4 linked regions of the Bombyx mori genome follow. The protein of the gene in region 2 interacts with the protein of the main gene of each other region in a pairwise test. Links are inferred from orthologs where the notes say so. Each region holds a gene or a part of one and is shown on either strand. Other genes may lie near its edges. The genes, in order: epidermal growth factor receptor substrate 15-like 1, tyrosine-protein kinase Abl, Rad51 and epidermal growth factor receptor kinase substrate 8-like protein 1.

Region 1 (8,684 bases), on a different chromosome or scaffold from region 2:
TCAGTTGGATTTCCACCCAATTGATCTCTTTAAGTCTGAACACAAAATGGACGCTTTTAATCAGGTAAACTACGATAAATCTCTCAATCTCTTTATTTATTAGTTTGTGATCGAGGACCCCACACTTCAGCATGGCACTTTATAGTCACATCAACGAGGGACCGTCTACACTAATTGAGCATCAACAAGGCAAACTTGCTGACGTTCCGCCGACACGTGCTCATATCAGGTTAAGAAGAAAACTTCATTCTTCTCACAAAGAAAATCGTCATTTAAGTATTTCTTTTTCCAAGTGAGCCTTTCATGTTCTGATTTTGGAAGCAATTATTCTGTAATATTATGTTTTGTTATCGTTTTTAATAGCACAAGAAGAAAAAAACTACTAAATTTTCTAGTATTATATCCTCAAAAGCTCTAAGAGATTTTCGTGATTCACATAAATAGATAAGGCCAGATGAAAGTGAACAAATAATACAAGTATTTTTCTTTATTTTATTACCCTTGTCGACGCGATGATGAATAGTTAAATTATTTAAATGTTAAGTTAATGATTGTAAGGGTGATTTGTTAAATGTAAACATGTTGTAAACTCGCTCTTCTTCACAGTGAATGCGCAAACCTACTGTGTCGTCAATGAGTTAAGCTGAACTAAATTAATTTCCAATTCTATGGTATGTGAGTAGCAGCCGTTAACGGCGACTATGATGTTCCGCCCACCCGTCACTCGTGTATCTTGAGACGCGAGGTCTCGCTGTCCCTATTGTGAAATCTATGTAAACGTTAAAACATTTTTTACCGTTGACGATTAATGTAGATGTATGATTAATAATATGTAATGGATGTGAATTTGATTTAAATGGAAAAAAAACATGATTCTAGATTAATCCACTTCAAAAGGTGCCAGTGTTGAAAGTTGATAAAGATGTGATCTGTGACAGTCACGCTATTGCAATGTACCTTTGTGAAACTACTAAATCTGAAGATTTGTATCCAGGAAGTGCTTTGGCCAGGGCAAAAATAAATCAAATGCTTTTCTACAATGCGACAACTTTATTTCCAATTGACAGTTTCATACTTGTGAGTACAGTTACACAAAATGGTAGTTACATAAATTTGGATACACATATATTAATTTGAACCGTTGCGTTATTTTTATTTTCAGTCTGAATATTTTTGTGGAAAAATGCCATCTGGAGTTAAAGTTGATGAATGGTTTAATTCTCTGCATTACCTAAATACAGCTCTGTCGGTTTCTCCATGGCTCGCTGGAGATCAGGTAACAAATCTGTACTTAATTCATTCTTCTGTACTCGGCTATCACTGAATGTCTTCATTGAAGGGTTAAACGGCTTGACTGACATCGTTTGTATTTAAAACAAATACTTTGCAGTATTCTATGTAGAGTGGCGCGGCTTCCTTCAAACCCAATGTCTTCTTTTAACACTGCGAGTAATTTATTTAAAGTAGGAAGTTCTTTTTTACCGTATAAAACTGGTGAATTTTATGGCGAATAGCACATAGATCGAATCCATCCAAACCTATTTTTTTGCACGTGGGCGACTCTTCCCTGGTGTGACAATCCTTTTCTAAGTACTAGCCGCTACTTTTCCTTCTTGTGTTATCCTCGAAACTGTTTTCTAAGACACACCTGCATTTTTTTTAATAGATATAAAACAAAACAGGCACGTCAGAATTTTCAATAGTGTTGTTAAACTTTGACGAAATGTTTAAATCTTAATAAACAATAATAAAATACTTTAATCTAACAATAAGTACGAAACCATAAAAAAGTCCCAAGTAAAATGGTAAAAATCACATAACTGGTATCCCCAACTAACTACCTGTCATGACGGCTACTCTCTTACGAACATTGTTTATTGGTATCAAAACCCCCTGATTCTTCAGTTCTGCTTCACAAAACTCCTTCACCTTCAATATTATTTCACGACCGGCACTTTTTACAACTTTAGACATCGTAAATAATAGTTTAAATACGACAATTGAATAAAAAACGCAATAGTAACGAACACAACAACACTTGACAGCACCTGATAACGACAAATATGGCCGATCTGTCATATTAGTTCCATTTATCCCCGTGGGACTTCTTCCAGTTTAGATTCATTCAACGTTCTTTTCAGCTTCCTAACTATTATATATTTTGATTTCAATGCAAGACAACGTCATCTTCACAGGAAACATCAATTAATTTGCTTGATTTTATTCTCTAGATGAGGATTTGCGACTTTTGCTGTGCTTCCACCATTAGTTCCATGGAGACGGTCGTTAATGGAATCAAGAAATTTGTTTACTTGAAGAGGTGGATGGATGAATTGGAAAAACTACCTTGTTTTGAAATCAACAGACGTGGCTTAGAGCGATTGAAATATTTTATGAGTCTTTACAAGCCAAACTAAATGAACCATTTTATTATTCAAATGAGTAGATGATTAAATTATTGGTTTGAAAAAGCTACAAAGTTTTTTGATCCGCAGTATCGATGCTTCCTAGTTCTATAGCACCGTATACTGTCGGCCCGAGGGAGAATACCTAAACGACTTAAAGGTTATAGTTTGGACAATTGAAGGGTCGTTTGTTACACGCAAGACTCTAGGCAACCAATGGCGTATTACCTTAGCGTCAAATGGGATGTGGCCTTTTTTTTTCGGGCATCGGCCGAACCTCAGGTGCAGACCGTCAAATCCCACATACCTTGCATGAGGTATGTGAGACTTGACAATCTGCAGATGTTTCGAGCAGACCACGGGTCCAAGGATGCTTAAGGGCCCTATCCACCAAACGACCCCCTTGCACTCTTTCAACCGACGTCCGATCTTCACCTGGGGTCAGAACCCAGTCAGAGTAGGGGGGCTCCCGCGGTCAGCACTACAACCAGACTCGTGGTGCCAACCCTAGGACGCCCGACCGATAGGTCGACGAGGCCATCGTTGACGACTCTACGTCGGCCGTCTCGGTGCGGTAGCCCGACGGGCCACCCCAGGCAGTGGTGCTGGTGTTCCGGAATATCCCGCTGGACTAGAACCAGCCAATAGGAACGCAATATACCACCAACCGGTTGCTCTCACACAATAGTTTCGTGGAACTGCTGCCATGCAGCGCGCTAGAGCGCAGGTACGCCGTGCGGTAAATGGGATGTGGTCATGGCGCTGGCCCCAGCTAGGTGAGGCCGTAGGCTAAGGCGTAATCGTAGGTAGCCTGGTTCGGGAGGTCAATGGTTTTATTGGTACTCCAACCATTATTGATGACGAGCGTTGAAGTCTTGGACCATTACCTCCACAAATGGTTACTTTGCTCAAGCAAGTGGTCAGTCCTCTCTTGCAAATGCTCAAACTTTTTGGCATGGATGATCTAGTGTGCTCACTGGTTGACAGGGTTGTGTTTGGACTTAATAAAATAAATTCGTGTTGGTAGAAATGGGAGTATTTGGAATTTAAAAAACACAACGTTGAAATGATTAAATTTTGATAGATTTTCTTTGGTTGTCAACACTGAAATTTGTTTAACCTTTGCACAGTAACATTCAAAATGACGACTTTGACGCCAACTGCTGCACCCGGAATTCGGTGAATCAACAGTCCGAAAAAACCGAGATCCAGATCCAAAAAACTGACTTTCTCTACATCTAACATGAAGTTTGTGTGCGAGAGAGAAGGTCCATTCATTAGGTACAGTTTTAAATGTGTTAGAAAGAATAAAACATAATAGTAGAATATCTGTTATGAGTCCAAACTCTCCGGACTATTCACACCCGGAATTCGGCGACCTCATTGTAATCAATGAAACGAGATGAAAATAAATTAAATAATATCAGTGAAGTAATGGGAGATTCGTTAAGCATTTTGGAAGAATCCGAAAAGCTGGATGAAGATTTTGTTTCAATTTTCCAACATGTTTCATTTTAAACGACATATAGAATGCAATTAATAGTTAAAATTAGACGATAATGCCTGAAGAAAAACAGAAAAATAAATCATTTCACGCAACTTGACATTTCATATTCCTGCCAGAAAGTAAATAATATTTATCAGTCATTATGGTCATAGACCTATGTCAGTACCTTCCATGACAGTGCCAAGTACAATTTCCTTTCTTTAATCTTTACTCCTTCACTTAGCTTAGTCTATGACTGGCTGCATATTGATTGGTCGACGAGGAGATGTAAAAAATGGCTGCCTTGCCGTCTCCTACCCAGGTAGAAATTAATAAGATTTACTGAGTTGTTTTTGATTAAATTGCTTAAAGGAAGTTAATTAATCAATTTAAAGAGTCCAGTTTTAGTAAAGTTTAGTGTGTGGTTACCAAAAATAACCGGTTTTAGTAATTTAGTGTGAAGATCGTGTTAGAAACAAATTTATTTGCTTGAATTTAATGTATTGACGTATTTATCCCAACAGTGTTCATTTAATGCCCATTTCGTAGTCAAAGACTGTGCCTCAGTTATGGTGAATAATCTCTTTAATAATTTATTAACCTCTTAATTAGTTGGTTGAATAGTAAATGTTAACAATTAAAACATATCTCGATTAAAAGTAACGCCACCTCAAAAGTGATATAAACAAGTCGAAAACAAATATTATGGTGATCTAAACGGTGTCAATATGTGGACTCAATCGTTACAGGTGGCAGGGACCCACAGCACGATATATGAAGCCTACTATCATCAGGTAAGTGGAGAGTTCATACATACTTACATGTCTTGTTGGTCATTTTGGTATATTAAATAAATTTGTCATCAACCCTGCTCTTGCCTAAGTGATCTACGAGTACATTTGTATACAAATGCATAGTTTAACTCATAGATAATTCGACTATAGCTGATAAATTTTAAAGACGGAATTTTGTATTTATTAACCAATCTAAAAAACCCATCAGATTACATATTGTATTCTCTAATCACTGATGAGATATTAGGAAACTTTAAGTATTTTATTTTCATAAACAGTTCTGAATAAATATTTTAACCATAAATTTAAAGCCGGTCGTCAACTAACTTCCTCCAGGTACTCAGTTGCCTCTGGTTGTTAAATCATTTTTCAAAGAGATGTCAATGACTAGAACAGTGATATTGCAAAGAAATTAATTAAAATATAAATAGATTAACATGTTTGCTGAGTTGGTTTTGCTCATTTTATAACTGTTGGTAGAGTTTATTTTGAAATTTAAATCTTCCTCAAAGAACCCTTCAGTACACTGAAATAGCACATGAGTGGCTATTCCAAGCTTATGATCACTAAGATAAATGTCATATTGTGTAAAATATAGGCATATGTGTATATTTATGTAGGCTCATTTTATGTCACAGTGTGTGTATGTAATTTGAATAGGCTATATCTCACTAAATTATAATTATGCCGTTGGACACTTTTGTCCTCCTTCAAATCTTGCTGAGCTTTACCTACATGAAGCTGTTGTGGCCTAAAGTATAAGACACCCAGTGAATTCATATTGAGTCATGTGACTGACCCAGTATTGAAGTCCTGCAGGCAGGCATCAATTTTTGTGAGGAAACAAGTACTTAAAAATGAGTTCACTTTACAAATGACTTTTGTGGTAAAAGAATAACATTGTCTTAGAAATCAAACTTGCAGAATTACTGGTGGTAAACATTGTAAGATAGATCAGTTCTGTTTAAATTAATGAATAGATTACTTACTCTACCAATTCAATAAAAATGCACAAAGTAAATACCATCTCAGACGTAAGATCAAATATGATAATGAAATTTGTATCTTTGATATATATGGTATATTTTAAGATTAGTTGTGATTGCCAAGAGGTGATAAAAAATGTGAAATCAGATAAATTTCAGTGTTGTGTTTTTGGTCATTGCAGCAACAAATATTTTGTACCCAAATGTGAAATAAGTTATATCTCAACCCTTCTTTACTTTAATGAATGAAATATGGTAATAATTCTCTCCAAATTGTTTCATCATTGGCCGTTTGTTGGTTTGCATTAGATCTATTTTGAGCAAACTTTAAGTCAAAATTTGTAACTAAGAATTCTGATAAATATATTCCTGTAGCCCTAACCAGCTACTTCCAGTTGACTCCATACAGAATATAGCCGTTCGGATTTTGTACTGTATGTTCCACGGAGTGCTCTGAGGAATTGTTTGAGATGATCCCATAATTTCATTTTTACCATCGCATCGCCCGCCACCGATATAGAGTTCATCCATACTAGAGCCAATGTGTTCATCCACACAATTTTTTGCCATGTACCACTAGGGTTTGGAATGAGCTTCCTTCCATGGTGTTTCCCAAGCACTATATGCCCTTCTTCAAATGAGGCTTGTGGATAGTATTAAAACGTAGGCAGCGGCTTGGCTCTGCCCCTGGATTGCTGACGTCTAGGAACGACAGTAACTACTCATCATCAGATGGGCCGTATCCTACATAAGTAATAAAAAAAAGTTATGATTTACAAAATTTTTATACTAGTGCTAGATATAAGCATAGGCCAGTACTGTTGGATTCTTGATTGTAAGTTAAATAACTTAGAGGCTGTGTGCACATTACAACAAGAACAGATCAGGAAATGTGTTGCTCTAAACTGGCTCTGATCTAACATGTTGGTTTCTTCAATTACAGATGCAATACTTCCTTATTGTTCCTTATGTGCTCTATTCAGTGTATTTTCTTGCTTTTTAAATCAGTACTTACTAATATTGGAAATGCAAACATGAATACATAGGCGGCACTGAAAATTTCGGGAATTAATGAAGTGACACAACATTACTATTTAAAAATGTATTTATTGCTTTTCGAAGTATTCTCCGCGAAATTTGACACATTTTTCCATACGATGGAACCAATCATTGAAGCAACCATTCCATTCGGAAGTTGGCGTCTCCAAAATGGCCGTTTTGTAGGCGTCCACAGCTTCTTCAGGTGATGAAAATCTCTGTCCACGCAATTTATTCTTTATTTTAGGGAAAGTATAGAAATCATTAGGGCTTAGGTCGGGGCTGTACGGCGGATGGTCTAATAATTCTATGTTTTCTTGCTCTAAAAACTCTTTTGTTCTGTGCGCGGTGTAAGAACTCGCATTGTCGTGATGGAGGATGATGCGGCGGTTGCAGTTCTCTTTACGGAGTTCAGAAACGACCTGTGGCAAACAAATGCTAGCATACCATTCTGCATTAACCGTTCTTTGTCCCTCAAGAGGAATAGTCGTAACATGGCCGGTTTTGGAGACAAACGTGGCCACCATTTTTTTTGCAACACTCCGTGAACGAACAATTTTTGTTGGCTTTAACTCATTTTCGAACACCCAAACTCGTGACTGGTTTTTTGTTTCGGGTTCGTACGCGTATATCCAGGATTCGTCACCTGATACAATGTTGTATACAGCATTTGAGGATCCTGCGTGGAATCTTTCGAGAGTTCTGACGCACCAAGTAATGCGACCCGCTTTTTGCTCTTCACAGAGCGAATGCGGTATCCATCGGGAAAACAACTTTTTTACACCTAATTGTTCATGCAAGATTATTTGTATTTGACTCATGCCAATGTCTAAAGTTGCCTGAATTTCGCGGTATGTCACATGTCGATCTTCCTCAATCAGCTTACGCACAGCATCAACGTTTTCTTGGGTCACTGCAGTTTTTGGACGACCTTGACTGGGATCATCACTGGGCTTGACACGTCCATGTTGAAACTCAGCAAACCTGCGATAAATTGTGGTTTTGGATGGGGCTTCATCACCAAATGCAGAAATCATCCGGTCAACACATTGTTTTTGTGTTAAACCATTTCGAAAGTCATAATAAATCATCGCTCTTGAATTTTCTCGAGTCAATTCCATTTTTTCAACGACTAAACAAGTTTGACAAAACGTCGTGACAAGACCGAGAATCTTTTTTTAAATAAATAAATGGTATTCGATTTTTAAAACCAAGGAGTTTTTAATTAAAAAGATTTTAATATGACAGGAACAGTGGAAATATTCCATTCCCGATACTTTTAGTGCAGCCCTCGTATGTTTGTCTGTTTCACATTTTAAAGCTAAACTTTACAATACGATTATAATTGAAGAAATGATGCCCCTATTTAACACCTGTGATCCTCTTATCGTTAAGATGAAAACCTAAATCAAACAATTTGCCAGATCTCGAGTTTTTTATAGTAAAATAGACTTTAGTTAACACTAATAAAGCACGGAGAGACTAAACCCTCTAACCCTCTAACTAATACTCTATGGTCCTCTGGCACACTCAATTTTAAGTATTTTTCCTTTGGAGTTTTGTTTTACACTTATTTAAAGGTCACATTGTTTTATGGTTAAATCAAGAGGCATTTGGCATATGAATATGAAGGTGGGTAGGCGAAAAATTCATTCTGGATAGGATTTGGGTAAAATCCTTTCTCAAATGCCAAATTCAAAGTTCATGGTAATGGATGGATTCAGAGATCTCGTGATGAAGCGCTACATACATATAGCGGAGCAGTCTGACGGACCTTATTACGATTACAGGTGGACCCAAACGGCACTGGGGTCATTCAAGCGCTAGACGCTGCTCGGTTCCTCAAGAAGTCTCGGCTTAGCGACGTTGTCCTCAGCAAGATATGGGACCTATCAGATCCAGCCGGCAAGGGTTGTCTTGATAAGGTAATACATATTTCTTGTTATTTGTAGGTGCTTGATTATTTACACAGTGC
Region 2 (8,115 bases):
ATCTCATTTAGCACAGTATTCTTCTCGACGTTCTCCTCATCATTACTATTTCGCATAATATCTATAGCGACTTCCTCAAAGCAGTTCCAGAAACTGTCCTGTACTTCAAATGACATCATTTTCATTCAAGTTAATTTTCTTACGAAGAGTCGTCATCGGTACTACTAAATTCATCATTACAACTTAGTTTCAGAGCTTCTAGAAGAATTAGCTGTCTTGCTCTTTCTGCTTGAAACAAATCCTAAGAAACTTGTTTTGAAGCGTGGATCAAGAAACGTAGCGACCAGATATTTGTTGTTTTCATCAAAGTTAAACCGCTTTTCAAACCCGGTTTGTAGTGAAGATCTTATTGTCACTAAATTTGGTACTCTCTCAGCTGTTTCTCCCTTTCCCAGATTTTATAATAAAGTAACTGCATATGGAATTACTTCAGAGATGCAGGAGAAAACTGAACTAGTTATTTTTGTAATCTCTTCAAATTGTCTGAGAAGTTTGGTACATTGTTCCGTTAGTTCCTATTGAGCATGACAAGGTGTTAGATTATTTAAAGTTTCATGATCTGTAATGTACAAGAATACAGCTCGCTTTTGTTCTAATAATCGCTCCATTAAATAATATGTTGAATTCCAGCGTATGCTCACATCTTGTACTAGTTGGTGGTTAGGCTAGTTAAGTTCTCGTTGAATGGATTTAAGTTTCTGCTCTGCTATGGCCGATTTTTTATTAACTGGTGTCATTTTGAACAAACAATATAAAAAGAACTAACGAACAAACTTTTGTACAAAATCGTAATGTTTTATTTAATTTGTGATTTATATTGATCTGACAAAGCGTGCCGTGACGTGATTTACTCGCAACTGAGACAGTCAAATGGCCGGCCACCGCCCGCGCACGATGGAGACAGGTCCCGACCGGTCGACTAACTAGCATGTACTTTGTGCCGAATATTCGGCGCTTCGGCCGACAGCGTTGCCGAAAATTCGGTATTCGGCCAAATTACTATTCGTGGCAACTCTAGACATCACCATTAACATTAAATAAATAATTCTAGTAGTGCAGACAAGATACTGGCGGTAGGACCTCTTGTGAGTCCGCACGGGTAGGTACCACCACCCCGCCTATTTCTGCCGTGAAGCAGTAATGCGTTTCGTTTTGAAGAGTGGGGCAGCCGTTGTTACTATACTTGAGACCTTAGAACTTATATCTCAGGGTGGGTGGTGCATTTACGTTGTAGATGTTTATGGGCTCCAGTAACCACTTAACACCAGGGGGGCTGTGAGCCCGTCTACCCATCTAAGCAATAAAATAAAAGACAGAATTAATGACAATGACATCGTTAGTATACAGTCATGTACACCTCGAGTGTACGATGACAGAACAACCAATTCAATCGCCGAATGGGTGCCGTAAGTACTTATTTTTGTTAAAAAAATAATAATATATAAGTAATATAATATGCGATGTGATGGTTCATTCAGCTCAAATAGATTTTTAATCGCCCGTTAGTTAAAGTCCGCCCCTGATGTACAAGTTCCGCCTCGCCAACAATACCAAATGTAGATGGACACAGTTCTGTAAGGCGGCAACCAGACCTGCCTGCCTGCTTGATATTGTTCTGTTTCATACATTTGATTGTGGGTTTTAACTTGAGTGGACCATAATTGCAAACTGCAATGGTTGATGCTTACGACTTCCATGTGGTGAAAGTGTCACAGTGCGGCTCGCACGGGGGCGCGCCTTGTTGCCCCGAGACTGATGAGGGCAATGTTTATCTAATGCCAGTACTGCATCCTCCTATTGAATTTGTGGGGACGAATATTCTAAATTGTCGCTGGTGATGGAACACCCTGGTGCAGAAGTACCTGTCACGCTTATGATTAATACTGCGGTGGTAGTCAAAAGTGCGCCTTTGTACATACGTGATGTAAACGTAACCTAAACATTTCACTTGATAGCATTAGTACAATAACCTTGGCATTTTAATACCTACTCAATACTTTGCTACATTTACACAGAGTTCATCGATGACATAAGTTTTTTTTTTATTGCTTAACTAGCGACTCGCCCTCGCTTCGCTTCGGAAACATTAAATTTTATTATTGATAGGAGAGTCCCGCCATGTTATGCGCGGTACAACAATAATTACGGGAGACGCCACGGGGCGAAGCTAAAAAAAGTAAAAAAAAGTAGCCTAAGTTACTCATTATATCATTAACTACCTATCAGTGAAAGTCTCGTCAAAATCGGTTCAGCCGTTCTAGAGATTAGCCGGAACAAACAAACAGACAGACAAAAATTGTAAAAAGTGTTATTTTTGTGTACGTACCGTATATACTTAGTCTGGCCATAAATACTGTTACAATTAAAAATAAACAAAATATTACATTTGAATTTGGAATCTGTCATTTTTATATGATTGCTCATTGAGTTTTCTCATTTTGGCGCCAATACGTTGTACAATATTCTGCGATATTAAAATGGAGTGAGGTGATATAGAGAACCGAATCGCTGTGATTGCATTACACAAAGTAGGTATGGAGCCAAATGCAATTTTTAAAACTCTCCATAAGCTTGGTATTAGTAAAATGTTTGTGTACCGGGCTATTAATAGGTGCAATGAGACCTCCTCTGTTTGTGACAGAAAAAGATCTGGCCGTCCACGTAGTGTTCGTACGAAAAAGGTGGTCAAAGCAGTAAGGGAAAGAATTCGAAGAAATCCTGTCCGAAAGCAAAAGATTTTATCTCGGGAGATGAAGATAGCACCTAGAAAGAGTGCGTGCTTCTATTGATAACTGGCCTCAACGTTTAAAGGACTGTATTGCAGTCAATGGAGACCACTTCGAATAAGCTATTTATACTTTAAATTGTTTTATATTTATGTATTAAACTAACACACTGTAAAAGTAATAAATGTTATTTGCCATAGATTTTTTTCCTTTGTCTCAGTATTTATGACAAGACTAGGTATATTCATATGCATGTAGTAAAAAGAGGCTATTTCAATATTACAAACAGACACTCCAATTTTATTTATATGTATAGATTGTGTGGACGAGCTCACAGCCCACCTGGTGTTGAATGGTTACTGGAGCCTATAGACATCTACAACGTAAATGTGCCACCCACCTTGAGATATAAGTTCTAAGGTCTCAAGTATAGTTACAACGGCTGCCCCACCCTTCAAACTGAAACGCATTATTGCTTCACGGCAGAAATAGGCAGGGTGTTTTACTGTAAAAACTAAAACCTTAGAACTCATATTTCAAGATAAATGGTGGCATTTACGTTGTAGGTGGGCCAGGTGGGCCATGAGCTCGTCCATCCATATGAGGAATAAAAGATAAATAAATAAAATTATGTGTTGTTTATGGTTTTTTTTTCACCCTAAAGTCGCGCACTCACCGTCTGATTTCAATACAGTCTCAAAACGTGTTCTTATCCTGAATGACTAAAAATTCAATAAAATACTGCACACGGGCGGGTCGGGTTCCTGACACAAAAGTCGCCAAGGGTTGAAGTGTGAATTCTTCGTCCTACCCCTAAAGATTAAGGAAGTACCCATTCGTTCAATCCAAGTCATTTTATACAATATAAATATAATTTATACAATATAAATCATATTTTATAGTCGTCGTGGCCTAACGGATAAGACGTCCGATGCATTCGTGTTGAGCGATGCGCCGGTGTTCGAATCTCAGGTGGGTACCAATTTTTCTAATGAAATACGTACTCAACAAATGTTCACGATTGACTTCCACGGTGAAGGAATAACATCGTCTAATAAAAATGAAACCCGCAAAATTATAATTTGCGTAATTACTGGTGGTAGGACCTCTTGTGAGTCCGCGCGGGTGGGTACCACTACCCTGCCTATTTCTGCCGTGAAGCAGCAATGCGTTTCGGTTTGAAGGGTTGGGCAGCCGTTGTAACTATACTTGAGACCTTAGAACTTATATCTCAAGGTGGGTGGCGCATTTACGTCGTAAATGTCTATGGGCTCCAGTAACCACTTAACACCAGGTGGGCTGTGAGCTCGTCCACTCATCTAGACATAAAAAAAAATACAAGAATTTCTTGATGGTACTCCACTCATTTGTACATTCGGATTACATTCACCCTACCGACACCACGTTCTTCAAAAACGCTTGCTCATACAACACGTGCTTCCAAAGTTTAAATGGATACCTAGTCCACTAGACCCAAGTTGTGACAGCTGTGACTCACGGGCATGACACATACTTAGCTGAAAATTTGTACGCTAGATATGAAGTCGTGTTATTGTAGACAAACTATTCGTGTCTAAACGACGTAACAATAACATATTCCTAAACGAAAACTCAAATAGCCGAAAAATAATACTCACATACATTTGCATACATATATGTATTTATTTTAACAATTTGACAGGTTTTGGATAGTTTTCAAATGAAAACGTATTTTACTCAAGAATTGGTAGACCTTTTAGACTATAGAAAGAGCTGATACTTTCCATTTTATTGAGAGGGACTCGATTGATAAAGTAAAGAGCACTGCAAGTTCTAAATAAAATACTCAACATATTAATTATTGTAAACGTGAGCTAATTAGCAACCGAACTGCAGGCGCGCCCCCTCAGTCCGCACCCCGACCTGCGCCAGCGGATCGGACGGTAGCGCCCGTGCTGCAGACGAAACTACAACTATTGTTTGGCATTCGCTTCGCACTGTACGCTAAAGATGCCCTCCTGGACAACTTATTAGCAAAGTGTAACACCGAGTGGGTTATTGCCTTGAAGATCCATCTAGTCGCAATCACGCGTAAAAAGGTGTTGACTAACGAAAAATGTCGATTGAACCCAAGTTATGGAGATTTTATCCCACTCAACACCGGGCGACCCGGAGAGATAAGAGAGAGAATAATGCTTGACCTTTTATGTGTTTTAAAAATATATTATGAGGGACATGTAATAACTACGACACACTGCAACTCTAGTGATTAATTTCTCTAGTGGATGTTGAACCCTGCGATCCCTTACGGGATTACGCGTTTACGCGACTGGCGGTTATTGTTTTATTGTTTGCTCGCGGCTCACCTGTTGCCAAGTGGCTACCGAAACCCATAGACATCAACAACGTAAATGCCGGCACCTAACTTGAGACAGCTCTAAGTCTCAGTTTTATAATACACCAATTGTTTCACCCTTCAAACCGAAATGCATTACTGTGTCGCGGCAGTAATAGGTGGGGGTAGCTAGCCATGCGGACTCATAAGACTCCTTACCACCGGGAATTACGCAAATTAAAGTTTTTGAGGGTTTGATTTTTTATTAAACAATGCTATTCCCTTTGTATACCTTCACCCTGGAAGTAATTCATGAACACGTGGAAGTACGTATTCCATTATTGCAATATGCAGCTGCCTGCGGAGTCGCATCGCTCGATACGCGCGCGCCGGCCTCCCCGGCCTCCCCGGGCACCCCGGGCTCCTCGTACTACCCCGTACTTTCTTTAATACTTTATGGTTAAAGAGGAGCAGCGCTTTTTGCTCTCTGTTTGTTACATTAAAATTTATCTAATAGTGTTATTTCGTATAACTATAAAATATTTAGTTTGCATGTGTCTATACTCGTAAATAAATATGTGAACGTAAATGCTGTAAATGCTGAAACATAACGTTCTGTAGAGCCGAGCCCGCTAACTGGTCCCATATTGCAGGCGAGCAGGTGCGCATCATGAGCTACAACAAGAGCGGCGAGTGGTGCGAAGCCCACACGCTGACTGGGGCCGTGGGCTGGGTGCCCAGCAACTACGTCACTCCAGTCAACAGTCTCGAGAAGCATTCATGGTACCATGGGCCGATTTCCCGCAACGCGGCGGAGTACCTCCTCTCGTCTGGGATCAATGGCAGCTTCCTGGTACGCAACCCACACATTGTGTCATCTCTCTGCGCGTAGACATGACCGCCATCTACCCCGAGACAATATGCTGTAATCCTTATACTGACACGCACAACTCCTTCGTGCCGTGCGAGCTCACAATACACCCTTCTACCAATACTAAAGCTACATATTATATAAACTTTGCTAGTTTCATATTTACACAATGTTTTTCGGCCGTGAACATTTTGTGAGTGCGTGTCACATTACAAAGCTACTGCTGCTGCCCGCGAGGCTTAAACAACCAGGTGGGTACCACCGCCCTGTCTTTTTCTGCCGTGAAGCAGTAATGCGCTTCGGTTTGTAGGGTGAGCACCCGTTGTACTGTAAAAACTGAGACCTTACAACTCAAATGGCTGGTGGCATTTACGTTGTTGGTGTCTACGGGCTCCGGTATTCAGTAAACATCAAATGGACCGTGTGCTCGACCATCCAACGAGGCAATAATGATATGTGGTCAGTCTTATTGTCTACTACGAATCATATTACAGTATTATACTCTTACCTTATGTCAAACACAAATCAAGAGTCTGCACAAGAATAGTTTGTACCTACTCTATAGAATACTTCCGAAACTATTTACTTGGGAACTTTCTTTTTTGTGTGGTGTAAAACAATGGTTTAATGGAACACTCTCTGTAGTTTTGACATGATATACTCTTTGTGGGACACCCATCTGATATAGTATAGTACATACACATGTATATTTAAGTATATAATTATAATTTATAGTAAGTATATATATTCTATAAGAAGTTATACACTATGCGCTACTGTATACTCATATGTAAAGTAATAAAATAGTATTTAACGCGAGGAGAGCCGCTCCACGTCTGGTCCGACATCACCCACAGAGTGACGTCGCGAAGGATCGCCGACTGCCGCAGCCGCCGAGTCCGACCTCGGAGACGATGTATACTAAACCGGAGGTCGGGCTGTTTGTAGGTCCGCGAATCGGAATCGAGTCCTGGGCAACGCAGCATATCCCTCCGCTACGAAGGGAGAGTTTACCACTACCGCATCAACGAAGACGCCGATGGGAAGGTAGGGCCCTATCACTAACGGAGGCTGGCAGTGCGGTAGCAGCCTAGCACAACACCACTCTATCTCTTCCTGTGGATATCCTAAAACTGACTTAAGGACTTCGCCGGAGGATGGGCAGAAGCTTTATACAATATTAGCATACGTCGATCGACAATCGTGATCCACGGGTGGCTCCTACCGTTCTGCCTGTTTCTGCCGCGAAACAATGAGACTTCAGCTCGTGTTGCAAGGTGGCGGTGGAACTCACGCGCTGATGTATGTGGCCTCGTGTGACTCATTGAGAACTTGTTGCTATGCATGAGCCACAATTCAATTAATGATTACAATAAATTTTCAGACGACATATTAAGAAGAGAATGTGATTTGACACGCGTTCTTTGTATATCTTTTGCAGGTTTATGTGACCTCCGAGTCGAAGTTCGGAACGTTAGCGGAGCTGGTCCACCATCACTCGGTGGCGGGGGACGGTCTAATTACGCAGCTGCTGTATCCAGCACCGAAGCGCTCGAAGCCTACAGTGTTCCCCCTGGCTCCCCCCGACCACTGGGAGATCGATCGCACGGACATAGTGATGAAGCACAAGCTGGGCGGCGGCCAGTATGGAGACGTTTACGAAGCCGCTTGGAAGCGCGGCAACATCACGGTGAGTGTGTAACTGCACAACTGTGCCCCCTCGCCGACCGGCAGCCCGCTAATGTGACGCGTGTCTCCAGGTGGCGGTCAAAACACTCAAGGACGATACGATGGCGCTCAAGGATTTCCTGGAGGAAGCCTCCATAATGAAAGAGATGCGACACCCGAACCTGGTGCAGCTGCTCGGCGTGTGCACACGCGAGCCCCCGTTCTATATTATTACGGAGTTTATGTCCCGCGGAAACCTGCTGGAGTACCTGCGGGCGGGGGCGAGGGAGTGCGTGCCGGGCGCGGTCGTGCTCATGTACATGGCGACGCAGATAGCGTCCGGCATGAGCTACCTCGAGAGCCGCTCCTTCATCCACCGCGACCTCGCCGCCAGGAACTGCCTCGTGGGGGAGAACCATCTGGTCAAGGTGGCCGACTTCGGACTGGCTCGCCTGATGCGCGACGACACATACACGGCCCACGCCGGCGCCAAGTTCCCGATCAAGTGGACGGCGCCGGAGGGTCTGGCCTACAAC
Region 3 (8,698 bases), on a different chromosome or scaffold from region 2:
AATTTTTTTAATTTGAATTATTGCAGTTTCGAAGTGTCCAATAAAAAATCCGTCATTTATATTATTAGCACAGTAGAAACGTTCGTGAATACTATTATTTAAATTTTAAAATTAAAAAACCACTTTCGATGCTAACGCTAAAGTTAGATGCAAAATACGAGATACATCAAAAGGAAAATATTAAAACAATAAATTAATGAATCACAGTAAGTTTTAATGGCCTTCGGGAGTGCCTTGAGTTATAAAGGTAATAAGTAAAAGTATGAATGTAGTGTATTTTTGTACGAAAAATTAATTAATCAATATTTACTTTAAGGTCTTATATATTGTAGTGCTTCCAAAATTAACGTTATTTAGCGACCGTAATCTTATACCAAAAATGGTTATTTGATGTGGAAGCTAAATTGTATGCTGCTTTCAGCCGTCAGATTATAAAAATATATATTTAAATCTACTTTTGGAAAGCTAGAATTTATGGAAACTACTAAATATTTTATTACTACCAACCTATTGAAAAGTGCCATTATTACGCTTGGAATTGTCTTTGGTGCTTTTGTGGGCTTATGGAGAAATTTCGTAATTTAGACACGTATAAGGATTTATATAGTTATTTTATCATTGTAAATAACATTAGCTAGGTATTAAAATGTACACCACTGTTGGTCGTATCAATTATCAATATATATGCTGTATACCTTATTTAATAAAGTTATTGACAACTAGTCTCATCGAGATCGCATATAATGCCGTCGTATTTAAATTATACAATACGAGTATTAACAATGTAATTTTGCCTTTATTGTAATGTATATTGTAAAAAAAATATATTAACGTATTCACTTATTCAATAATATAGTGTTTATAATAAAATTAAACTAATAAAAGAGTGTTTTTTTTTCTTTTTATTAATATTGCGACAAATATCTTTTATGGTATCGAGAGATTGCAGTTCTTGTTGGAGGTATGTTGATGACTAAGGTACATGAGCCGGCAACATCGTTCACTTTGATTTTTGAATTTGAAACTGACCAAAGAACGTTGGGCATTTCATCATCAGTTTTCCCTTTGTACTCTTCAACTGCTAACGTATCTGACTGACCACACATTGGCCTGGTGAAAAAGAGCAATTTTGAACCTGGAAACACACTAAAGATTTATTTACAAATCTTTCACAACCTAAAATACTTTTTTTATTTACGTGAATTTTACCTAAATGGCAAATGGCAGCTGGCGGATTCGTAAAGTAAGTGATCAACTGCAATTTCGTATCTATGCCAGGTCGAAATCTATAGAGATGGCTAAAATAATTTTGTGTGCAATAAATGTAATTATTGAATGACGTCATACAATTTGGTCTAATATCTGTTAGTATGACTGTGGACCATCTATCAGTTTGCCCTAAGTCCTCATATTGGTAAATATTCTTCTGACCTGATACATAAATAGAATTATTGTGTACGCACACAGCTGGATTTTGTATTGTATCTGGTAATTTGGCAATCTTCCTGTGTGTTCTTTGTTTTAAATCATATATGACAGCCGTATCAAGTACAACTCTAAAATGAGAAAAGCAAAATTTATTATTGTAAAGTGATTTTATCAAAATTTCAAGGAACAAAACAATTTATAAAATATTACCTTTAGTAACTATTATTTCACAACAAAATAGGCACATAACTGCGAATTGTCTTGATGCTCAGAGAATACAGAGTTAAAATAAATAAAAGAAACCAACCTAAAACCACCTACACCTCCAATAATGAACAATGAGTCTCCCATAATAGCAACTCCACCATGTCTTCTCGATGGTAATTCAACACCGTGCAAGATCCACTCCTTACGGAAAGTGTCATATACTTTAACATCTTTCATGAATACACTCGTACCTCTACCATGTTCTCCACAAACCAGAACAAGTTTGTTGGCACCCCATGCTACCACATTCCAACCCCATAAGTTTTTCTCTGCAACTTCCAACCATTTTTCAAGGCCTGTATCTTCACTAAATGTATACATATTATGCGATATCAATTCAGGTTTTGTATCTTTGACTATCCAGACTGGTACTGTGGGTGTGAATATCAGCTTACGATTAACACTTGCACTTACTAACTTAAAAACTTCAATATATACCCTGGCAGTGAACTTTTCGCATAGTTCATCTTTCCTTTCAGTCAAAGTTATTATAGACAATTCACTGTGTTCAGTAATCTCTAAAATACAATCAACTACTTTAAGAGGCAAACTATCAACAAAATCCTTTATAAGGATTTTTATTTCTTTGATATCATTATGACTCAGTCTTTGTATATCTAAACATCCTAAAACTATCAATATAGCATCGGCCCCTGTTTCTGAATTTATAATCCATTCGTAACCAAATCTAAAAACCTCTAATTCATTATCAGTATCTAAATATGGATGTGATAAATACCAAAATAGTCTATGAATATTTAAAATGTACTCTTTTTTCATTTGTTTAAAATTAAGTAATCCAAATGCAGCACTCAGTTGCTCTAATTTAGTATAAGAAGAGTTTTCTGCTATAATCATTGTCTCCATCCAGTTTGAGACAGAAAGATGGAGATCTAAACAGTATTCAATCTGCTTAATTAATTCTGTTATTTGAAGAAAGTTCGCTGCGATTGACAATTCTCCAATAGTTGTCAGTGAGTATTCAGAGAGATCTATCAAACCTATTCTCATGTATTGAAGTATCATGTTCATTGAGTATGCATCAACCATCTGGAAGTGGATATAGAAAGAGTAATTTTTTTAATATTCAGTAATTTACAGTTCTTCTTGTTTACAGTCCTTTTTTATTTTTAAGTTACACTATCATATTGTAGGTAGATATTTATTCCCACAGATGTCCTCAAATGGACATAGGCCTCTCCCAAACCACAATGATCGGCCTGCACTGCTTGCGTCCAGCAGATCCCGCATACCTCAATAGGTGGTCTGTCCAACGTGTGGGAGGCGAGGGAGCTAGTGTGGGTAGCCACACTACGTCTACGGTACGTTCTATACATAGAATATTATAAATAGAATAGTTAGCTGTCAACAGCCTACCCTCACCAAACGTTCCACAATGAGGTATGATTGAGGTACCATTAACATCAAGGAATCGCAAAATTATCAATTTACTACCCACTACTACTAGATAATTATGATTAAAAATTAAACATTTTGCGATTATTCATAGAGTTAAATCCATAATTATTGTTTTAATTGTTTGTCATTTTATACATTAATTTAATTTAGCTAACATAATTTATAATTTTCCTTACATCAATTTTTATTTCCTGTCGTTCGTTTTCAATATAGTTTCCACTGAACATTGCGCGAAAATAGTCGCTGTACTCGCACAAAACATTTTTGTTCGCCGTGAATCTCTGATTTTCTATTAAAAGTGTTACTTCTTGAGTGTCCTCCATCTCCTTATTAAAATCCAATAATCATATGTTATAAATGTTCAATAGAGTTAAATCAATTTTATCAAAAAGCTAACCCGCAAAAATTTAAATAAATTCGTTGGCAGTGGGGTACGGTATTCTGTATGTTTATGTTTACCTCATGGAGTTAATAAGTACCTAGTTTACCTACATTCGTGTTTCTATGTTTACGACAACGCAGGGAGCAATTGTCACTTGTCAGTTGCACCCATAGACCAGTGGTTGCACCTAACAGCTGATTTTGAGTAATAGGTTCCATTTTTCAAACTGGAAAGGCGAAGGTATGAAAAGGAGATGAAGTTGATTAATTTAAGACATTAATAAATTAGAATGAAATTAAATGAAACAAGATAATATGGGATGAAATATAGTCTCAACAAAATGGCGGTTATTTAGGTAGTTCCGTTTCACTTTTTGGAAGATACCGAGAAGTTACGTCCAGTAGATTTGTTTCCTTTTCCCACATTTGTGCACTTTCACCGATACTAAATAGTTAATAAACCACCATTATTAAACATTAATTAGAAAACTACCATTAAGTAAAGGTTAATTACAGAGCATAATGTGACTCAGTGACGCACAATGCCGAATTATGCTGAAGCTTAGTTGAGCATTATGCCGCATAATGCGCTCTTGTGCTGTAATTGGAAAACGGCCAGCATGTGTACATCTATGATTGATCTTGACATTTAAGCGGATGTGACTTTTTGGCGGGAACGCGAGGAGTAAAGTTGGGTGATTTGTTTCATTTTGTCTATTTAGTGTTTCTTCAGGTTTAAATGTGTAATAGCAGTGGTTTATTAACTGTTTCATATCTGTAAAAGTGCACAAATGTGGGAAAGTGAAACAAAGCCGCTGGACGTAACTTCTCCGGGTCCTCCAAAAAGTCCACTGAAAAAATCTCAGTAAATGACCACCATTTTTCTGAGATTATATTTCATCCCATATTCATCCCATCATATATTTCATCCCATTTCATCTCATTTAATTTCATCTCAATTGATTAATGTCACAAATTAATCATCTTCATTTCATTTTATTTCACTCCATATGAGGCCTATAAAATCAAAGGCAGCTAAACGCCTCAATGTCGCAAAATGGATTAACAATGGCGCTATCTTGTTTAGTTAGTTGGACACGCTTTAGTGTTTTCATGTTATAACAAATGCAGCTAAATCTCTAACAAATTCAGATCAAAAAATTTATTTTTACTCTGTACTAAGAACTAATAAACGAAGTTTTATCATTTAAAATTCAGATTATTAGTAATATTCTCAGTCTTTATGTGCTTAAAATGTGCTTTAAATTAAAGAATATCGTAGCTATCCGAACAAAGCTATTTCAGCTTCTCAAACCGGGAGTGTTGCTAACACTGGCCTTACCAAGAGCAGTACTTCGATGGATCGGGAGGATCCGTAATGACGTGTTTAGGGCTGATTTTTGCAGTTTACCTGAATATTTGACAGACTTGGATTTAGCTGCCTTTGATTTTATAGGCCTCATATTATCATTTTTCATAAAAATAAGAATATAAACTAAATTAAGACATGACTTAAAGGTTTTAGTTACCAGGTCATAAAATCTCTTAAAAAAATAAGCGGATGTCTTCAGACTTCAGTGTCGACTTTAAAAATAAAAATAGTGATTGAAATTTTAACGCGTATGTTACTTACAAGTTTGCTCTAACAAACAATAAAAAAAAAATTAGTTAAAATTATTTTATAATCCAAATCGTGTACTCCAAAGACACCTAACCTTGTAAAGTTATTTATAAGCAACTGAAGTTTGAATATTTTTAAATGAGCCGGTAATTGTTTGAAAGCCACGGACAATAATGAATACCACTGCTTCAGCAACTACGACTTCTTTGGATGAAGATGCTGACGAATGCGGGCCACAGCTGATCAGTAAATTAGAGGTGACGTCATGTGACAAGCTATAACTTGCTTACAAATATTACTGGATTGAACTGACTTATTGGATACAATGCGCAACTTATACTGTAGATAAATTCTAATTTATTCCATTCTCTTAACTATATTTCTTTTTAATGTGTATATGAAATAAATAAATAAACATATTGGATGATAATAAAGTGCTCCTAAGAATCCTATCTATTTATGCTTAAGTAAATCTACATATCCTGCCTTGGAGAGTAAGATATCTACATTCCAAATAAAAGATCTCTCAAGAAAAGAAAAAACAAGGGTAAAAGAGGGTCAAGTTTATCTGCTCTAAGAATTTTCAAATAGATCTCCAGAAGACACAAAAACGTTCTGTAAGAACAACATGAGTCTATGCTCATATTAAGTCAAATTCTCAGTTGTATTGCATTTGATGCTACTTAATCGTTCAACCTTACTTCATTGCAACATTGTGTACATCATATATATATCTAAATTTGGATTGTGATAATTTGTTTGTTAAATAATAAAAATATGGAATAATTTATTTTAGGGCAATGGCATCACATCAGGAGATATAAAAAAGCTTGAGGAAGCGGGATATCATACTGTTGAATCTGTTGCCTATGCTCCAAAAAAATGGCTAATCACAATTAAAGGGATATCTGAAGCGAAGGCAGATAAAATATTAGCTGAAGCATCTAAATTGGTGCCAATGGGATTTACAACAGCTACTGAGTTTCATCAAAAGAGGTAGGTACCTTTAAAATTATTTATTTATATTTTTTATTATTAATTAATGAAACGCCAATATGGCTAAGGTTAGTACAAAGTTGTGGAAAACATTTAACACATGCAAAGTATGTAAAAAAGCAAAAAAATTAGTACCTTCCTGCAGGATTTGTACCCCGTCTTTGTTACATAAATTGTTATGTCTATGTATCTACCTTAGGCTATAATGACACAATTATTGGACCTGACATAAGGGACACAGCTCAAATCCCAGTATCGAACTAGTAATGTATAGTCATATTCTTGACACAGAAAATAACTGCAGCTAATACTTGTATTAGATTTTTTTAATTAAACCAAATCTACATTGAGTATTGTTTGAATTCTTCCAGGGCTGAAATAATACAACTTACTACTGGTTCAAAGGAATTAGATAGATTACTGGGAGGTGGTATAGAAACTGGTTCTATAACTGAAATATTTGGTGAATTCCGTACTGGCAAAACCCAATTATGTCACACATTAGCAGTCACCTGCCAGGTACAATTGAATTAAACCAATTTGCAATAAAAGTATATAATAATAAATATTAATAATGTATACTATAATGATATGTGATAATGTGTAATATTGCATAAAAGACGATATGTGTAAGTGACTTCATATAAGAGCGGAAGTGAGCGAAGAAATGGTTTATGATAGAGGTATGGTAGGAGAAAACATATTGCGCCAATCCCAGGTTACTGGGAGTAGGGCAGGAGAATGATGTTGATGATGAATGTATAATATAGGTAACGTAACGGCCGTCTGGTGTAGTGGTAAGTGACATGGTCACTACACAAGGGGGTACCTCTAACACAAGTTCTTTACGAACTTATCACGGGACTAGTTAACGTGGTGTGATTGTTAGTAAATAAAAAAAAATAATACTAATAATAAAAATAAAAAAAAAAATAATAGTCATAAATGTTCATTTAAAATATTAGAACTGTAAGGTCATATTTTGATGTAAAAAATGTTTAGAGGTTAACAACAAAGGGAAGATCTTCCACCCAGCAGGTGTAATTTCTCAGTGGCAGCCAAAAAAAATTGAGAAAAAATTGTTCAATGAACAATGTCGCTTCTATGTAATATTGTAAAATGTAAAATATCTAATAATTTCATTATTTTTTTAAATAGAAATCCCATATTGGTAATTTTAAATTACTGAAAACCAATTGCCTTGGCCTTATTAAATTTTCCCAGCTACCCATTGAACAATCTGGTGGAGAGGGTAAATGCATGTACATCGATACAGAAGGAACATTCAGACCGGAAAGACTGCTGGCCGTTGCACAGCGATACGGTATGGAAGGTGCGGCAGTCTTGGACAATGTTGCATATGCAAGAGCTTATAACACAGACCATCAGACCCAATTGCTAGTGCAAGCTTGCGCCATGATGGCAGAGTCAAGGTAAATTATTTTATAATAGATCTATTTAATTGTTTTTCTGAATTTGTTATAAATTTTTTATTGTTTTTACTTGTGAATTATTTTTATACTATATATATATTAAATAATTTGATTTTCAATTAATTTATTTATTACGCATTAAAAATTTATCTTACGTGCATACAATTTTCAGATATTCCTTAATTATAGTTGATAGTGCAACCGCTCTATACAGGACAGACTATTCTGGACGAGGGGAACTGAATTCTAGACAACTACATCTGGGTCGTTTCATGAGAATGTTGCTCAGATTGGCTGATGAGGTAAGTAAATATTCCACGTAGTTTCCTATATTAATTATTTCAGAAAATACAACTGTAATTTAGTAAAGTGCTTACATAATTAAAATCGTATTGTGAACAATTTGGATTTTCTTTATAAATATTTCTATCTATTGAAACAGTTGAATAATGATTTCGAATTCAAATCACGGATGGTATTTATTTTCAAGTGAATTTTAATCCTATTATGTGATAAACGTAAAAGTTAGATTGTGTTATATTTTGAGAGGCAGTGTGTATATATTTCATGTACATGTATTTTGATGAGTTACCAATAAAGTTTCAAATCTGTCATTCCAGTTTGGAGTAGCAGTAATCATAACAAACCAAGTGGTCGCACAAGTGGATGCTGTAGGAGTTTTCAATGCTGATACCAAGAAACCAATCGGAGGTCATATCATAGCGCACGCGTCCACAACTAGACTCTATTTACGGAAGGGTAGAGGTGATAATCGCGTGTGTAAAATATACGATAGTCCGTGCTTGCCCGAAACAGAAGCTATGTTTGCGATTAGCGCTGAAGGCATCACGGATGCTAAGGAATAATAATTTAATTAAGGTGATATCATCACTGCCATCAACCTTAAATATCATTTTAAACAACGTAGTAGTGTATGTTAACAAAGAAAAAAATAAAATAAAAACTGGAAAAGAAACAATGAATGTACATAATATATATAACCACTCAAAATGAAGAAAATGGCTCTAAATCCAAAAAAAAAATATGATGGAAAAATAAGTATATTGGAACATACACTCTTAATTAATTTATATAATTTGGTAGATTATTTTAGCTCATTTAAATGGCAACATCAATTTGTGTGAATGAGCTT
Region 4 (8,115 bases), on a different chromosome or scaffold from region 2:
TGAGTCAGCACGGCTGAGTACCACCGCCCTGCCTATTTCTGTCGTTTAGCAATAATGCGTTTCGGTTTGAAGGGTGGGGCAGCCATTGTAACTATACTGAGACTTTAGAACTTATATCTCAAGGTGGGGGCGCGTTTACGTTGTAGTTGTCTATGGGCTCCAGTAACCACTTAACACCAGGTGGGCTGTAAGCTCGTCCAACCATTTATGAATTAAAAAAAAAAACTGGTCCAACCAGCGTATTGAACTTCTGCCTGTGGGCCAGCCGGAGTAGTATTAGTGCGTAAATGTTAAAAGTACGAACCTGGTAATGTGTGTATATCGGATTAGGGTAGAGGTGTGGTGACGAAGGCGGCGAAAACGCGGGAGCCACGATGGTGTGTGGCACGTGCGCTGACACGCCGCGTCTGTTACGTGCCTTCCACCACTTTCTCGAATCATCTAGAACCTGATATAGAACAATGTTGGATGAAAGATTACGTCATGAATTTGAAATTTTGACACATTGAAACACCATGAAAATAAGTATAAAGTAAGTAAAGAGACCTTTCTCGAAGTCAAACATATTTCAGGACTTAATTTTGTAATACAAATTGTAATTTGCTTAATTACTGGTGGTAGGACGTCTTGTGAGTCCGCACGGGTAGGTACCACCACCCTGCCTATTTCTGCTGTGAAGCAGTAATGCGTTTCGGTTTGAAGGGTGGGGCAGTCGTTGTACTGTAAAAACTGAGACCTTAGAACTATTATCTCAAGGTAGGTGGTGGCATTTACGTTGTAGATGTTTATAGGCTCCGTCACGACTTCACATTAGGTGGGCCGTGAGCTCGTCCACCCACTTAACGCATTTAATGTCGAACACACTGCGCTGTGGAGGATCGAGGGCCCGGACTCACGGCGCCGTTGTGCGTGCATTGATCAATATATTGATCTTATAAGATCGCTACTTTACGCATATGTCCATATGCGTCACATAATGCTATCAACACGAACGGTGGAAACGGTACATACTGCTGCATAAAAAGAAACATAATTACAAGCCCGGCGCCGTGTGCTCGGTTCCCAAATCCTTCATGGCGCCGTGTGGTTGGCATTAAATGTGTTAAGCAATAAATAAAAAATACAATCAATTTAAACTAGCCGTATTTGAATAAACCCGCAGGAAGCCACTTTTTTTTCTACTGAAATACGTACTTAGCTCATGCTTGAGATTGGGAGAATTTGCTAGAATTCTGAACAAGATTAGAACTTACCTCTAAATACTCTCCCCTAACGACACCATGGAAATAAGTATAAAGGAAGTTAAGAGACCTTTCTCGAAGTCAAACATATTTCTGGACTTCATTTTGTAATACAAATTATAATTTGCTTAATTACTGGTGGTAGGACGTCTTGTGAGTCCGCACGGGTAGGTATCACCACCCTGCCTATTTCTGCTGTGAAGCAGTAATGCGTTTCGGTTTGAAGGGTGAGGCAGTCGTTGTACTGTAAAAACTGAGACCTTAGAACTATTATCTCAAGGTAGGTAGGTGGTGGCATTTACGTTGTAGATGTTTATAGGCAGATATGAAGTGGTTACCGGAGTAACCACTTCACATTAGGTGGGCTGTGAGCTCGTCCACCCACTTAACGCATTTAATGTCGAACACACTGCGCTGTGGAGGATCGAGGGCCCGGACTCACGGCGCCGTTGTGCGTGCATTGATCAATATATTGATCTTATAAGATCGCTACTTTACGCATATGTCCATATGCGTCACATAATGCTATCAACACGAACGGTGGAAACGGTACATACTGCTGCATAAAAAGAAACATAATTACAAGCCCGGCGCCGTGTGCTCGGTTCCCAAATCCTTCATGGCGCCGTGTGGTTGGCATTAAATGTCTTGAGCAATAAATAAAAAATACAATCAATTTAAACTAGCCGTATTTGAATAAACCCGCAGGAAGCCACTTTTTTTTCTACTGAAATACGTACTTAGCTCATGCTTGAGATTGGGAGAATTTGCTAGAATTCTGAACAAGATTAGAACTTACCTCTAAATACTCTCCCCTAACGACAGTTAATTCTTTATCGTTATTTGCAGTGCGAGGGTAGGTGACGCGCACAACGCGGCCTCCCCGGGCCGCAACGCCCCGGGCCCACGCTTCACCCAAATCTGCTGAAAAAATTAATAGTTTATAATATATAATATAATATAATAGTTTATAATATAATAAATAAGTTTAAAAACCCTGTCTAAGGGAGTTTATATTTTTTAGAGTAGTCGCTCCCCAATAGTCGAAATTCGACTATAATTAACTGTAATTAAAACTTTGACAATTATTATGGTTCTATTGTCAAAGACTTCTTTAATCACAGATCTCATCTCCTTTTTATCATCGCACCTCCCGCCATCGGAGCAGAGTTCATCCATATTATCTGGAACCGCTGCGTTCATTGACAGTGCGTTTCCAAAGATTTTTTTTGCCATGTACCATCCGGCTTTGGAATGAACTCCCCTCCACGGTGTTTTCCGAGCGCTATGACATGTCCTTGTTCAAACGAGGCTTGTGCAGAGTACTTTATGGTAGGCAGCGGCTTGGCTCTGCCCCCGGCATTGCTGACGTCAATGAGCCTTAGTTCAGGCACGGAATGTTATTATTATTATCTTGCTTTGCAAGAGACGCGTAAACAATTTTGAAACATAAGGCTACAAAAATATAATAAACAAAAATTCAATTGTGGATTCTCGTTGGCTCTTTTGATTGACAACCGACCACTGGTCTATAGTTTCGTTTTTTGTTTAATCGAAATTGGATGCCTTTCTAATTGTTTATGGACAAATTGCATTCGGAGAACTGTCGAGACTATTGTTTACCTTCATCTCTGTCTGCGGGGCGATACGGGGGCTCTCTGTCGGGCGATGAGGCAGCGGAGCCCGAATCTTCGCGGCCGATTGGTGGTCTCAAGTTATTTCTGAAATTTAATAATAAAATTTCTCATGTAACAGAACTGTATCCTTTTTTCAGCTTGAGGCTGTTTCAGCTTTGTCTTAACGTGTAGGTGAGCTCACGGGGCTCAAACCGGGCGTGTTGCTAACACTGGCCCTAGTAAGCGCAGTGCTTCGCAGAATCTACCACCGGATCGGAAACGCGACCCACTGAGAAGATCCAGCGAGAAACTCAGTGGGCTGTGTCTATGGGTTAATTTACCAGTCGAGCCCTTCGTTGCAAGCGACGGGTTCAGCGTGCACCGTGACCAGTGCTTGAGGTACCTAAAAGCACCGTTAATGGATCGGGAGGATCCTTAATGACGTGATGTATACTAATGGCGGGTACTGAGAATGGCGGGAATTACCTTGGCCTCTTAGGTTTCGTAACGGTATCTCTAGCATATTGTATTAGATGTAATTTTGCTTTGCCTTAGAATGGTAAAGTAGTTAGTATAACAAAATAATCTATTTTCAAGCTTTATGTCGATTAAGCTGATGCTCATTGTTAATAAAGCCAATCTCTAATGACACTGTCTAATTTTCCTTAGACGGGTAGATGAGCTCACGGCCCACAGGTTGTTAAATGTTTAACGGAGCCCATAGGCATCGATAACGTAGATACCGCCAGCCATCCTGAGCATCAATTCTGAGTCTCAGTTTTACAGTACAGAATGTTTATCTTGAGACGTGTATAGCCACAGATTACTCCATCTGATGGATAGCTCATTTAATTTTATGTTTTGCTTCTATAGACAAATTTCATTATAGGAAATATATAAGGATGATAGCACACATCTCGTCATTACAGTAAATTGTAATTCATATAAGTATTCAACACTCAATGTGAAAGGTTGTAGGGATTTAACAAAGGTTTCCAAATTGTCATTTTTTAAACACACAGTAGAGATAAATAAATTACAATCAATCGAAAATCGATTTGTATCATGAATCGATAACATTAAATTGAAAATCGCTTTGCGTCGAAAATCGATTTTCAATTAAGATTCTACCTGGCGAACGGAGCGTATTGCTCGTTGTATATCTCGGGTTCCTCTCGTTCGAACGTGAAACCCGCCACCTGCCCGCCCTCGCTCCTTTCCACGCCCCGTTCCATTGTACCCCTGCCCAGCTCGCTGCGTCTGGGCGATGACCTTCACAAAGCGGACGAACACAATATGATTCGCTGACGTCACAAACATGCGACAATTCGAAGACACTACGCATAATTTTTTTTGCTGTTGTCGTATATTATGTTAAGAATGATATCGACGCTTGAAAGGCAAACGTGACTAAGCGACAATGTGCGAACTTTACAGTAGACTAATTTAAAGTTGAAATACCTGAAAACAAAATTTATTATAACGAATTCAGCTGTAGTAGAATCTAGCTAGTAGCTGTAGGATTGAAATGATTTTAATATACCTAGAAATATAATTTTTTTTGCGCATCGAATATGGTTATTGCCTATCATTTATGTACAAAGCAGTTATTGTAGCTTAGTCACGTTTGCCTTTCAAGCGTCAAATATGAAGTTAGCGCTCTGTCAAGTTTGCAAGTAGCGCCATCTAGCGTATTGTTTTGATATTTCCAAAATCGATTTTTGCAATAGTCGATTTTATGATCCAACCCATCCATGATCAGTTTAAATACTAATGTTAAGTAGGAGTGGGTGATATAAATCGTATATAGATTCAATATCTATATATCGCAGCAATATCGTTGAATCCGATATCGCCCCGCACGAAATCTATATATCGATATCAACCGATACACGATATTGCTCGATGTGATGCGCATCGGCATATCGTACCGATTCGTGAATCGAAATCTATATAACGATATCAGCCGATACACGATATTGCTCGATGTGATGCGCATCGGCATATCGTACCGATTCGTGAATCGAAATCTATATAACGATATCAGCCGATACACGATATTGCTCGATGTGATGCGCATCGGCGTATCGTACCGATTCGTGAATATCAGCAATATTCGTTTGGTTCGTATCGAATCGGCCAGAGTGAGTGAGCGGACGATAGGGATATCATGTGATGAATGAAACAGAAACAGGCATTATCCATACAATTATAAACCTTATATTTAAGTCCATACGTCTGTAGATTATTCTTAGTGTATCAGCAGGATACAATTTAGGAAAAAAGTTTCAACTTTCGACCCTAATTAGAATGCAGTATAGCCTATTTGCACCGTTGAATTTAATTTCACGCGCTTTGACCTTGAACTAAAATTTTTGGATAAGTGTTTATAAATACTTAAAAGTTTTTTGTGTTTGATTTTTAAAGTACACATTTTTCTATTTTTAGTTGAATCCAAATAATTGAGTTTATTTGTTGTGTTTGTATTAAACTTTTGAAAGTTTAGAAACTTTTATTTTAACATAAACTTAGTAAATAATAAAATTTCTGAATTAATTTTGTAGTGTATGATGTATAAATATTATCAAATGAACTTCTAAATACGTCTCCGATATTTTCTCGAGACTTCATCTAGGCAATACTCACGTTAGGTACCTTAGGCGCGAACGAAATCGCGAATGTTACCTAAAATATATGTATTTAGTATTATGAAATATTCTACCTAATCTACACGCTTTTGGTATATTTTGTAATTTTAAATTAAGACACAAAATACTAAAAACTGAAAATAATGTAGCCGGTCCTAAGCCTGGTAAAAGCATGAAGGAAAGTTTTTTTGATATTTTTATTTTCATGTTCTTTTTATTACTTTAAAATCATATTATTATTATAAATTGATATCAGAAAACCAACCGTATAACGTTGACTTGAATCTATATCTACTACAATACTATATCATCGTATCGTTTCAAATCTCAAATATCATGAATCGAGAAAATCTACTAGCATCCATCAATATATAGATTCAGAAAATATATAGATTCAATATCCGATATTGATCCTCGATATATAGATACGATTCGATACGCGGCAAAACCGATATTACCCACTCCTAATGTTAAGTATAAGTTATTTGATCCATTCTCATGATACATTCAATTGAATACACATTAAATAATCTTTAATTAAATGTTATTAGCAAAATGAAACATTAAAAGCATTATGTTGATCTAATTTTCTTAACGACATATTACACTGTGATGATTCTAAATGTTTCAAACTATTCATTCGTATATTCACCTGCGTAAAGGTTGGTCATCGACTTGGTAATCTGGAGTCCATCCGTCCATGAAAACCGGTTGATATGGTGGTATCTGTGTTTTCCATTGCTCCCTGTAAAATATATTTTTTTCAAATATTTTTTTGTTATCCGATGAACAAGCTGGCTTGGATCCACCTTGAGATATTGAGTCGAGGACCCAATTATATTGTTTAACATCTTTCAAATCTGACAACAGCTAATGATGAATGTTACGCGTTAAAAAAAAAATTAAAAAGTATTTCCAAAAAAATACGTCACGTATTTTAGTCAGGCAACATTTAGGTAATGATAAAAGTTACATTGCTTTGCGTTTATTTTGCTATAAGTATTCATATGAAGCTCTAAACAATGAAAATATGGTTTTATAAAATCATTCAAATGTCAAACGTACGAACGAAAGTATTGTTTTAATGTCATTAGTAAAGATTATGTGAGTCGACTATTATCAAAGCTGGCAATGTGACTTTTGGACAATTATTGTTAAATCAGAAAAACGAATTATTGACTTTGTATTTCATTGGCAGTCACAAAACTCTTCTGAACGACATCTTAGATAAATAACAGGTTAAGTTAATACTTTATTTAATGCAGGTTTTGAAGCATATTCTTTGAAGGAGACGATTGATATTCAAATCAATCTGTATTGCCATATCAATAACATTTTTTTGTCCAAATGCACAGATTGCCACCTTTGATAATAGACGACTCATGTAGCCTATGAATAGTCACACGGCATCAGTCATTTGCTTCAACTATCAAACTCAAACGATTGTGATAGCTGGGGACAAATCACCTGTGAGCTTAGTGCGTGTTTTTTCTAACGTTGTCGATAGCGTAAAAGTTAACTCAAATTTGTATGCAGTTGGAACAGCGCCCCTAACGGCAAACCTAGGCAAACATTCCAACTCCATGCAAATTGAAGTTAACTTTTACGCTATCGAGAACGTTAAAAAACTCATACTAACCACACTGGCCCCCAAACCAAGAATACTACAGTACTACAGAACCCAGAGACTTATAAACGTGCTATATGCGTTGAAGTATATAAATAAATAGATATTTAAACATCCAGACAAAGAACAAACAAGCCTGCTTATCACACAATTGTTTGGCCGATGTGGAAATCGAATCGACAACCTTAGACCCAGCGTCAGGAGCGTTAACTATTGCGCCATCGAATGAGTCAACAGATTGAAACAGAAAATACTAGAAAGAGACAAAAATATAACCAATATGTTACCATAGTATCATAATTTTGGTAAATATATGTGAAATTTGGTTTTTGTAGTGTGCGTTTCGTGAAATATTATCTATATATCTTTTTTTTTTTGCTTAGATGGGTGGACGAGCTCACGGAGCCCATAGACATCTACAACGTAAGTGCACCACCCACCTTGAGATAAGTTCTAAAGTCTCAGTATAGTTACAACGGCTGCCCCACCCTTATAACCGAAACGCATTACTGCTTCACGGCAGAAATAGGCAGGGTGGTGATACCTACCCGCGCGGACTCACAAGAGGTCCTACCACTAGTAAACAAGACCAGTAAAACCAGTAAGCAACATGGATGTTTTTGTAGTGTGCATTTTATGAAATATCATGTTTATATCTGAAGGCAAATTATACCAATTACTAAAATCTCTCTGGTATTAAAGGCTTCGTCAAACAGAACGCGTAATTAGCGCGCATCAGAGCGCTAAACTGACGCCGCGCTATGACGCCGAGATGTGTTGTAATACTATGGTAACCGCTAGAAGTAATAGTGTTCTGTGATGGTAACATACCGTCAAACAGAGCCCCAGCGCTATAAGTACGCAGCGCTCTGTCGCGGCGTTAGGACGCTTTGACGTCAGGCGTTGTAATCTTTTACAAATTTTATTTTAGCGTCGGAGTGAATGTGTATTAAAATAGTAGATAATGCCCGAAAAAATTATAT

What was found.
Region 1: the proteins of tyrosine-protein kinase Abl (region 2) and epidermal growth factor receptor substrate 15-like 1 interact in a two-hybrid assay, tested with the Caenorhabditis elegans proteins (2 studies listed by BioGRID). The link is inferred for Bombyx mori from reciprocal best matches to the Caenorhabditis elegans genes abl-1 and ehs-1.
Region 3: the proteins of tyrosine-protein kinase Abl (region 2) and Rad51 interact in a two-hybrid assay, tested with the Caenorhabditis elegans proteins (2 studies listed by BioGRID). The link is inferred for Bombyx mori from reciprocal best matches to the Caenorhabditis elegans genes abl-1 and rad-51.
Region 4: the proteins of tyrosine-protein kinase Abl (region 2) and epidermal growth factor receptor kinase substrate 8-like protein 1 interact in a two-hybrid assay, tested with the Caenorhabditis elegans proteins (2 studies listed by BioGRID). The link is inferred for Bombyx mori from reciprocal best matches to the Caenorhabditis elegans genes abl-1 and eps-8.

What each region holds. Positions count from the first base shown.
Region 1 is NC_085125.1:126,194-134,877, reverse strand, and holds the start of epidermal growth factor receptor substrate 15-like 1, read left to right. Parts: upstream 1-4,151; 5' UTR 4,152-4,186; coding exon 4,187-4,213; intron 4,214-4,415; coding exon 4,416-4,463; intron 4,464-4,640; coding exon 4,641-4,685; intron 4,686-8,499; coding exon 8,500-8,634; intron 8,635-8,684. Other genes in the region: glutathione S-transferase 2, read left to right, coding at 1-64, 880-1,077, 1,163-1,276, 2,232-2,417.
Region 2 is NC_085107.1:91,198-99,312, reverse strand, and holds part of tyrosine-protein kinase Abl, read left to right. Parts: intron 1-5,693; coding exon 5,694-5,893; intron 5,894-6,859; coding exon 6,860-6,958; intron 6,959-7,352; coding exon 7,353-7,601; intron 7,602-7,671; coding exon 7,672-8,115. UniProt on the Caenorhabditis elegans protein: Functions downstream of migratory protein mig-13 and is involved in Q neuroblast migration during larval development.
Region 3 is NC_085131.1:10,826,865-10,835,562, reverse strand, and holds the start of Rad51 (rad51 homolog), read left to right. Parts: upstream 1-4,164; 5' UTR 4,165-4,360; intron 4,361-5,013; 5' UTR 5,014-5,289; coding exon 5,290-5,373; intron 5,374-5,912; coding exon 5,913-6,112; intron 6,113-6,483; coding exon 6,484-6,631; intron 6,632-7,336; coding exon 7,337-7,545; intron 7,546-7,717; coding exon 7,718-7,847; intron 7,848-8,165; coding exon 8,166-8,411; 3' UTR 8,412-8,698. Other genes in the region: kelch-like protein 26, read right to left, coding at 906-1,135, 1,210-1,556, 1,736-2,745, 3,291-3,440, 3,607-3,714.
Region 4 is NC_085133.1:7,038,249-7,046,363, reverse strand, and holds part of epidermal growth factor receptor kinase substrate 8-like protein 1, read right to left. Parts: intron 6,251-8,115; coding exon 6,158-6,250; intron 4,130-6,157; coding exon 3,989-4,129; intron 2,963-3,988; coding exon 2,865-2,962; intron 2,166-2,864; coding exon 2,041-2,165; intron 449-2,040; coding exon 305-448; intron 1-304.